Drosophila melanogaster: one gene and its partner. The protein of the gene in region 1 purifies or fractionates together with the protein of each later gene. This does not show direct contact. Each region holds a gene or a part of one and is shown on either strand. Other genes may lie near its edges. The genes, in order: CaBP1 and CG1092.

Region 1 (4,570 bases):
GAGCGACTGGGGAAATGGCAAATGGAAAACGCGTGGCAGCGAATCAACTTTAAAATAATCCGCACAAGGCACTTGAGAATCCAAAAAAAAAAAAAAAGGAAGTCGAAGGGCACTGGAATCCTCGTGGTGTTGTCAAGTGAATAATGGGACAAATCCGCAGTGTAAATATGACACGTTGCAAAATGGCATTCGATGATAAAATAAAAAGGAATCTCACGGTTCAGGACCACACTCGAAAAAAAGGCCAGGAGACTGTATATTGTGTGTACATATGTACATATATGTGAACAAAAAGCTGATATGAAATATTTTCCTTATCTAAAATGCGCCTTAAAAATCAAGCTACATCTACATATTAATAGAAATTCCATTTAGCTCACTAGTATTTATATTTCATTGCTCTTTATGTTATATATACATTTTTATAATATACTTTATACCTTATATATAAAAAAAATTTTTTTTTTTGCTTTATACACTCATTTTTCATTTTTTTATTTTTTATTTAATACATATATATTTTTTTATAAAAGTAGCAAAAAGAAAGTTATTTTTGCAAGTGAGCACACTCATAAACGCCCCACATCTGCAAGATTGAAGTCACTGACAGACGCACATCCTTCGGGAAAGGTGTTTTGACAGGGCGTCAGGCAAGTCAGAAGTGCAGACACAACAACAGGAGCAATGGCAACAAGGGGTTAATATTTATGCCGCACCCTCACCGTAGCGTATCAATAAAAAGATCGCTCCGCTGGGCATTCAAATTGTTTGTTTGATAAGCCAGTGTGGCGAAGTACGAGCACTGAAACGAATTCTAACTTAGTGATAAACCTAGAAATAATAATATTAAGCTAGATTCATCTTTAAATTTAATATTAAACTTATTGCGCAGATATTGTAATAAAGTAATGTGGTGGTTTCTTTTTTATGTGTCTAATATTTATGTTTTATTAGATATTATTTTTTTCAGTGCTGTAAGTTTATCTGGGGCCAGACTCTCTTTTACCGAAGTTAATACAAATATTACGCCTTTTTATGCTGAAAGCAAAAAGTGCAGGCCAAATGTGGCATAAACTTTACTTTTGGAAAAAAGGGTTGGCCACACCCACCGGTTTTGTAGCCGCCCGAGAAGTTATGACATTGTGTCATTGAATCTTTATGTGTGCATTCGATATGCATTAAAATTCAATAATCATAAAAATAACACGCAAAATAAAGGGAAAATCCAGTCCCCCCGACTGAACAGCTCCCTCCAATTAACCCTTGAATGGCAGAAAAGGAAATTGTCTGACTCTGTGTCTTTCTGTGCCAATATGAACGTCACATAAATCTTGGCAACACTACTACTAAGTCGCTATTAAGTAAAATTGACCACATATTTTATCTCATATGCGCACGCAACGAACGTAGACGAAAATGGCGAGGGTCAGGGGTCATTCGAATGTTGGCTGGTGGGTGGGGAGGGCAGTGGGAGAACAAGCTGGAGAGCCAGAACAATGTGCGAGTAAATTAAGCCAAAGCTTCCAGAAAACACAAATCAAACAAAACGTTGGGAAAGGAAACAATTAAAATGGGGAATTAACAAGGTAAATACAATTAAGGATAGTAGGCTGAAATGAAAGAGAGAAAATGTTATATTATATAAAATCATTTAACCAATAAATTGTTTTATATATGTACCTTTGTTTTTTCAATATTCTTAATATTGTTGCCTGTTGCTTACTAAAAATAATGCAGTTAACTTTTACAGTGAGAGAAATAAATAGATAATTTAATCTACCTTAGAGATAAAGAAAGCAGTACATTGGGGTAGTAGAAGTAGAACTTTGTCATTCTACGTCAAAAGTATCATCACTGAAATTTGCAAGTTTTTTGCATTGGTTTTAATGAATGTGTTAAGAAATCAACCTTGAAATAGCCGCCAAATCACACAGTGTTGTCAATAAGCTCATTTTTAACTTATCTGGCAGCTCTGAAGGATTTTTAGAACCAGTCTAAAATACCGAAATATATCGATAGTGGCAATAAACTTCTCGGACCATTTTCCTTTCGTTATTTGTACGTATATATAATTAGAATTACAAATAAAATCACGCCTTTGTTTTTGTAAAAGTATATAAGATTTGGCTTATTTCACATTATCAGCAGTATCCGCATTTGCCGGCTTCTACATCGATAGTCACAAAGTATTGAAACGCCTATCGAACTATCGAGAGTACGCCGCACTCGCAGTGACGTGTACTCTTTTTTTTTAGCAAAATATAAGCCGCATCTCTACACATAGTTTAGTTTAAAAGAGCCTATCGACAAGACGCGTTGATTAAGAATTTGTTGAGATAAACTCGCAAGAGATAGACACGTAAGCGGTTTCGCAAACTCAAAAAAGAAAGATGAGGCAACTGGGTAAGTTTCCGGCCCATGCACGAAATAGACAAATTATGTTAATAATACATTTTCAATACGCCCCCGCAGCGAGCATTTTGTTGCTGGCATTTGTCGTGGGCAGCGTTAGTGCCTTCTATTCGCCCAGCGATGGCGTTGTGGAGCTGACGCCCTCGAATTTCGACCGGGAGGTGCTGAAAGACGACGCCATCTGGGTCGTGGAGTTCTATGCTCCATGGTGCGGCCATTGTCAGAGCCTGGTGCCCGAGTACAAGAAGCTGGCCAAGGCATTGAAGGGAGTCGTGAAAGTGGGCTCCGTGAATGCCGATGCGGACAGCACGCTGAGTGGCCAGTTCGGTGTACGTGGCTTTCCCACCATCAAGATCTTTGGCGCCAACAAGAAGTCGCCCACGGACTACAATGGTCAGCGAACCGCTAAGGCCATCGCTGAAGCCGCTCTGGCGGAGGTCAAGAAGAAGGTGCAGGGTGTCCTGGGCGGCGGCGGTGGATCGTCTTCCGGCGGTTCCGGCAGCTCGTCCGGCGATGATGTCATCGAACTCACCGAGGACAACTTTGACAAACTGGTCCTGAACTCCGACGACATATGGCTGGTGGAATTCTTCGCCCCCTGGTGTGGTCACTGCAAGAACCTGGCACCCGAATGGGCCAAGGCCGCCAAAGAATTGAAGGGCAAGGTTAAGTTGGGCGCCCTGGATGCCACCGCGCATCAGAGCAAGGCCGCCGAATACAATGTGCGTGGGTATCCTACCATTAAGTTCTTCCCTGCGGGCTCCAAGCGAGCCAGTGATGCCCAGGAGTATGATGGCGGACGCACTGCCTCGGATATTGTATCCTGGGCCAGTGACAAGCATGTGGCCAATGTGCCAGCACCCGAACTCATCGAGATTATCAATGAATCGACTTTTGAAACTGCCTGCGAAGGAAAGCCATTGTGCGTCGTGTCCGTTCTGCCACACATTCTCGACTGCGATGCCAAGTGCCGCAACAAGTTCCTCGACACATTGCGCACCCTGGGCGAGAAGTTCAAGCAGAAGCAATGGGGCTGGGCCTGGGCAGAAGGTGGCCAGCAGTTGGCCCTGGAAGAGTCGCTCGAAGTGGGCGGATTCGGCTATCCGGCCATGGCTGTGGTCAACTTCAAGAAGATGAAATTCTCCGTGCTCAAGGGCTCCTTCTCCAAGGACGGCATCAACGAGTTCCTGCGCGACATCTCCTACGGACGTGGCCACACGGCGCCTGTTCGCGGAGCCAAAAAGCCGGCGATTGTGTCCGTGGATCCTTGGGACGGCAAAGATGGCCAACTGCCCACCGAGGAGGACATCGATCTGAGCGACATCGATCTGGATAAGGACGAGCTGTAAGGCTGTGAGGATCGGAAATCAAGACTGTGCGGCCCAAGCTCAAATTTCCACTTATTAAACTAACAAACACTTGCATTCTGAATGATATTCATTAGTCAGCCATCGTATCTAAATATAAATAACTCTTAATTATCTTTTAGCGTTTTTCTACAATCCTCACATAGATCTAAACGAATCGAAACCAACGATCATATAAACTATGTACCACAAAATGAATAAACTGTGCAACAAAACGTGTAAATTCTGGGCAAGTGTTAATCGGGTTCGGAAAAGCGCGTTTCGTGCTTAGCGAGTTTAAAAAAATGCATAAGTTGAATTTTATACAAAGAAAAGAATTCTTAATATCCGTAAAATTCAGTTTACATTTTCTTCCTTATGGAAATGAGTTTGGCTTATGAATAGATCATTCTTCAGTTATTTCTTTGAAATGAATCATCAAATATGCTTGTTTTCTTCAAAAACTCAATAGCACCATCACATCCAAGAATCAACAAGTGATATACATATTAGTTTTTTATGTATTCCAACGTAGCGCTGTATAAATATAAAGTTATTGTAAATCAATGAATTTAATATAGAATACAGAAGAATTAGTTCATTACCACCCCAAATTCCAATAAAATGTGTGAGAATTTTACCGTTGGGTGAGGTAAAACCATTTATTTTATGTAAAACTCACATAAAAATGTCCAAAAAGATTTGTATATAAACTTTGATAGACTTAATGCTATATAACGTCTAAAAACGTTTTTTTTGACACAATATATAGAAGGATACTCATGCTGGTCTAAATGCACAAACTGAAGATT
Region 2 (4,132 bases), on another chromosome or scaffold:
ACTGTATAATTAATAGAGAAATTATAATAGAAGGAGACAATATAATAAAAGCTTTTAATTGTTCTGTTCAAATAGAAAACATATTAATTACAAGCACAACACTAGACTACACACAAACGGTCTATATCAATAACAATGTAACAAAATTAGAACCATTATCATATCTAAATGCTAAAGAAATAATTAAAGAACACACTAATACATACAACACATTACAAATTATTACATTAACTATACTTGCTATTATAATACTTACACTTATACTATATTTTATTTATAAATATAAAGGCATTCCCAAAAAACTAATTGTTAAATATAAAAAAGAGAATCCACAACAAATAGAACAACAAAATAACACAACAACAGAAAATATAAATACAGTATTTGATACTAATCCTGTATTGTATCCTAGAATATCCGCCTGAGGACAGGCTAAATTTAAAGGATGGGGAAGTAGCATATGTGCCATAGTATAAGACCACATATACTTACACACACACATACATAACCACATAGGAACAGCCATACACAAAATCATAGAATGCCTTAGGATATAAGTCATAAAATCATGTATCCAATAAGAACCCAAATTCTGGTGACAATAACAAATCCAGCCTACCCTAATGTAAACATTAACATCCGCTGCCGAATCAGTTATTCCCACCAAAGGGTCAAAACCGCTTACGCAGCTCAAGTTCTCGGCTGATCAGTACCCATGAGTGATCCACTCAAGAAGGCACCCAATCCAACAGACATAAACATCCGCAGCCGCATTCGCGACTCCCACCAGAGGGTCAAAACTGCTAACACAGCTTTAAGGGTCAAAACTTTCCACGTAGCTCAAACTCGGCTGATCTATATCCATGCGCAATCCACTCAAGAGAGCGCCTAATTAACGTAAACATAAATGAGAGCCTATGTACGCTCAATATGAAGAAGTAAATAAGCTCAGCCAAGGGTTTGCTAAGCGTTCGCTTTGCAAATTAGATTTAGATTTTATTCATACTTCAATTGTGTAAGACGTGAATTTGTCTCCGACATTCGCTTAAGTTTTTGATCAATAAAAATACTTTTTTTTTATAAACCAACAAATATAATATAATATATGTATATTATGTATGTATATGTATATTTAAATCATTCCTTTCATAAGCAACTGCACACTGTTGTCTACGCTTAGTCAGATATAACTCGTAATACTTGTGAAACGATGCAAAGCCCATATTCCAGAATAGCGCGATCGTAAAAACAGTGGGAGAGAAATTTTCCTGATAGGACTTGACATTCTTATCGCTTCGGAAATATAATTAAGCATAGGAACTCACTCACTGAATTAAAATAAGACCTCGAATTGAGCAATGCACTGTGGTGCGAGTGTAATAAGATCATATATAAATCCGTTCTAATAATTCAACAATATAAAAACAACAAACAACCCGAGAACTTTCGGGTGTTTTTGCATTTTCAAGTAAAAATGATAAAATAGGAATGTGAGCGTTTAATTGGTTTTTAGACCGTTTATATGTGCGCGATAAAATAAAAAAGGTAAAACGGTAAAGATTGATTATTGTGATTTTGGAGAACTGTTTGTAACTGTCTGCAACAAAACGTTCTTCTAAAGTCCGGATAAATTTTTGGTTAAACACGTTGAAGAAGCATAAGTTGAAAATGTTGAAAACACACCATAAAAACATATACTGAGTTGCACTAATAGGGCATTTTTCAATACTATCTATGCTTTTCAAACGTTCATTATGATAAAAATAAATTATGTCAATGTCAGCCCACAATCATTTAATTATTGTCCACTTGGACAGAAAATCTTTTTAAATATTGTCAAAAGTAATAAAAAAGTTTTTACTAAAAATTGAAACATTCAATAAGTTATTTTAGTTATTTAATACCAGGGGATACGGAGTTTTGTGCTTACATTTCAATTGAAGTTAAATAGTTTCGTTGCCCAGTGATAGACGTATTTGAAAAGTGACTCTCTCTCGAACTACTGTGCAACGAAATCCGACATCCGTTGAGGGGTCCGATAGGCTGGCGCAAAAGCTGGGTTGCCAGTGACTTGAGCTCTGCGATGACAACCTCAAGTCTTGCAATCGGCGCATCCGTAGCGCTTATTCTGTTGATGTTGACTGGTTCAGGGCATTGCCAAGTGGGATACGTGCGGCACCTGTCGGAGCTGCGGATAAGGGAACTTGAAAAATTGTCGGTTCGTATACAGGGCTCCATCAACACCGAAAAGTATGCCTGCGAGAGCTATTTCGACTACGTCTGTAGCCGCAATCGACCCCTCTTTTCGATCATGGGTAAGTGAGGAAAGCCTGTGTTGGGGGAGTGCCTAATGCATATACCCTATCCAAGGACACATGCCGCAAATGGGCGATCTTATGCAGTTGCTGACCGAGCTGCAGAACGATCCAGAGCCATTCGAGGCTAAGCAGAAGACGCTGGACTTCTTCATCTCCTGCAACGTGCACCACGCGCTGGAAGACTGCTATCGTGAGACCTATGAGTATTTCAAGCCACTTTTCGGGTATATAGTTACAAAAAACATGCTCAATGGAGAATCCCACGAGCTGGATGACTTTCTGGGCATTTTGGACCGCTTCGTCGTCAGGTTTCAGAAGGACAGAGAGTCGAATCCCATTCTCAGCAAGCTGGCCACGTATAAGCAGAAATTTAAAACGCCGCGAGTCTACTTCCATGCTAGAGACCTGAGCCGGGAGTACAAGGACCTGCGGATCTACCGGGAGAGCTACGAACACAACGTTCGCAATCTGGAGCAGCACAGAAAACTGAATTCAACATACGAATTGGGGGTTCAGCGCACCATGCTGGATTGGAGCATGTACCTCTTTCAGAGCCGCAACAAGCCCATGTCCTACTTCTACTCCACGTTTACGGTCCATTTGTACATGATGCTTTTTAATAGTCTGGAGCGTCAGCGTGATTTCACGCGGTTTCGCGAAGATGTGGAGTGTTTAAGGCTGCCGCAGTTCGTTAATGTTCTGGATGAGGCCAGAATGCTGGCTGTGATCTACTTAAAGAGCTTCCGAGCGGCCTGGATAGACTACAGCGCCTGGATCAACTCGCCTCCACAGAACAGTGGGATATACGATCAGGAAAATGGCGTCCTTCAAAAGTACCATCTTGACAACAAGCGTATATTTTTTACTCTTTACGCTCAGAACTTCTGTGAGTTTGGGAAGGATCTGGCCGAGCATGTCTTCTATCTGGGCCTTAAACAGAACAAGGACTTTTACGACATATACTCTTGTGGATTCCAAACGGAAAACCCTATGACTTGTGTTTAAAAGATCAAGACCATTTCTACCATATATTTAGTTTACGAGATACAATAAAAGCAATAACATTCTCATAAAGGTGTACAAACCATTTGAAAAAAATGGCTTTCACTAAAAAACAAGCGAAGTTAAGATACCCAAATATCAGATACCCGTTACTCAGCTAGTGAAAGAGCAAACGAGAAATTTCTTCCATATCGATTGAAGTTGGGAAAAAAATAAAAAAAAGAAATATATAATAAAAAATTTTGAAAGCGTGGGTCATGCATACGGGCGGCTTGTGGCCAAAAACTGAAATGTAAAACAAGAGAGAATGCTTAAGTCGAGTTGCACGACTATCAGATACCCGTTACTCAGCTAGTGCGAATGCGAACGCGAAATTTCATAATTTTTCTGGGATATCGATAGATGGGGAATAAAATGAAAAACAAATTAAAAATGGCTTAAAAGTGTGGGCGTGACCGGTTTGGAAGCTTAAGGTCGTTAGAGTGGACGTGAAAAAAATTGTTTGGCTAACCGATAGAATATTACAAGACTTATAAAATTATGAAAAAAATGTAAACATTTTGCAATAGTGTGGGCGTGGCAGTTTTGGGCGGTTTTAGGGCGTTAGAGTGGGCGTGGCAAATTTTTTTGGCAAATCGATAGAAATTTACAAGTCTAATAAAATTATAAAAACATATCAAAACATTTTTCAAAATATGGGTCAACAAACTTGCGCTGCCTCTATGTCTTAAGAATCTGTATGCTTAATCTCAACCTTATAGTACCAGAGATCTCGACGTTCACACAGACGGACAGACAGACGGACCAGGCCA

What was found.
Region 2: the proteins of CaBP1 (region 1) and CG1092 purify together in Drosophila melanogaster (affinity purification with mass spectrometry, with the first as the bait; one large-scale study listed by BioGRID). This does not show direct contact.

The regions. Positions count from the first base shown.
Region 1 is NT_033779.5:16,354,373-16,358,942, reverse strand, and holds CaBP1 (calcium-binding protein 1), read left to right. Parts: upstream 1-2,207; 5' UTR 2,208-2,390; coding exon 2,391-2,403; intron 2,404-2,472; coding exon 2,473-3,761; 3' UTR 3,762-4,057; downstream 4,058-4,570. UniProt on the Drosophila melanogaster protein: Binds to both apoptotic cells and phagocytes and promotes Drpr-dependent phagocytosis of apoptotic cells.
Region 2 is NT_033777.3:4,264,891-4,269,022, forward strand, and holds CG1092 (uncharacterized protein), read left to right. Parts: upstream 1-1,879; 5' UTR 1,880-2,083; coding exon 2,084-2,315; intron 2,316-2,370; coding exon 2,371-3,323; 3' UTR 3,324-3,426; downstream 3,427-4,132.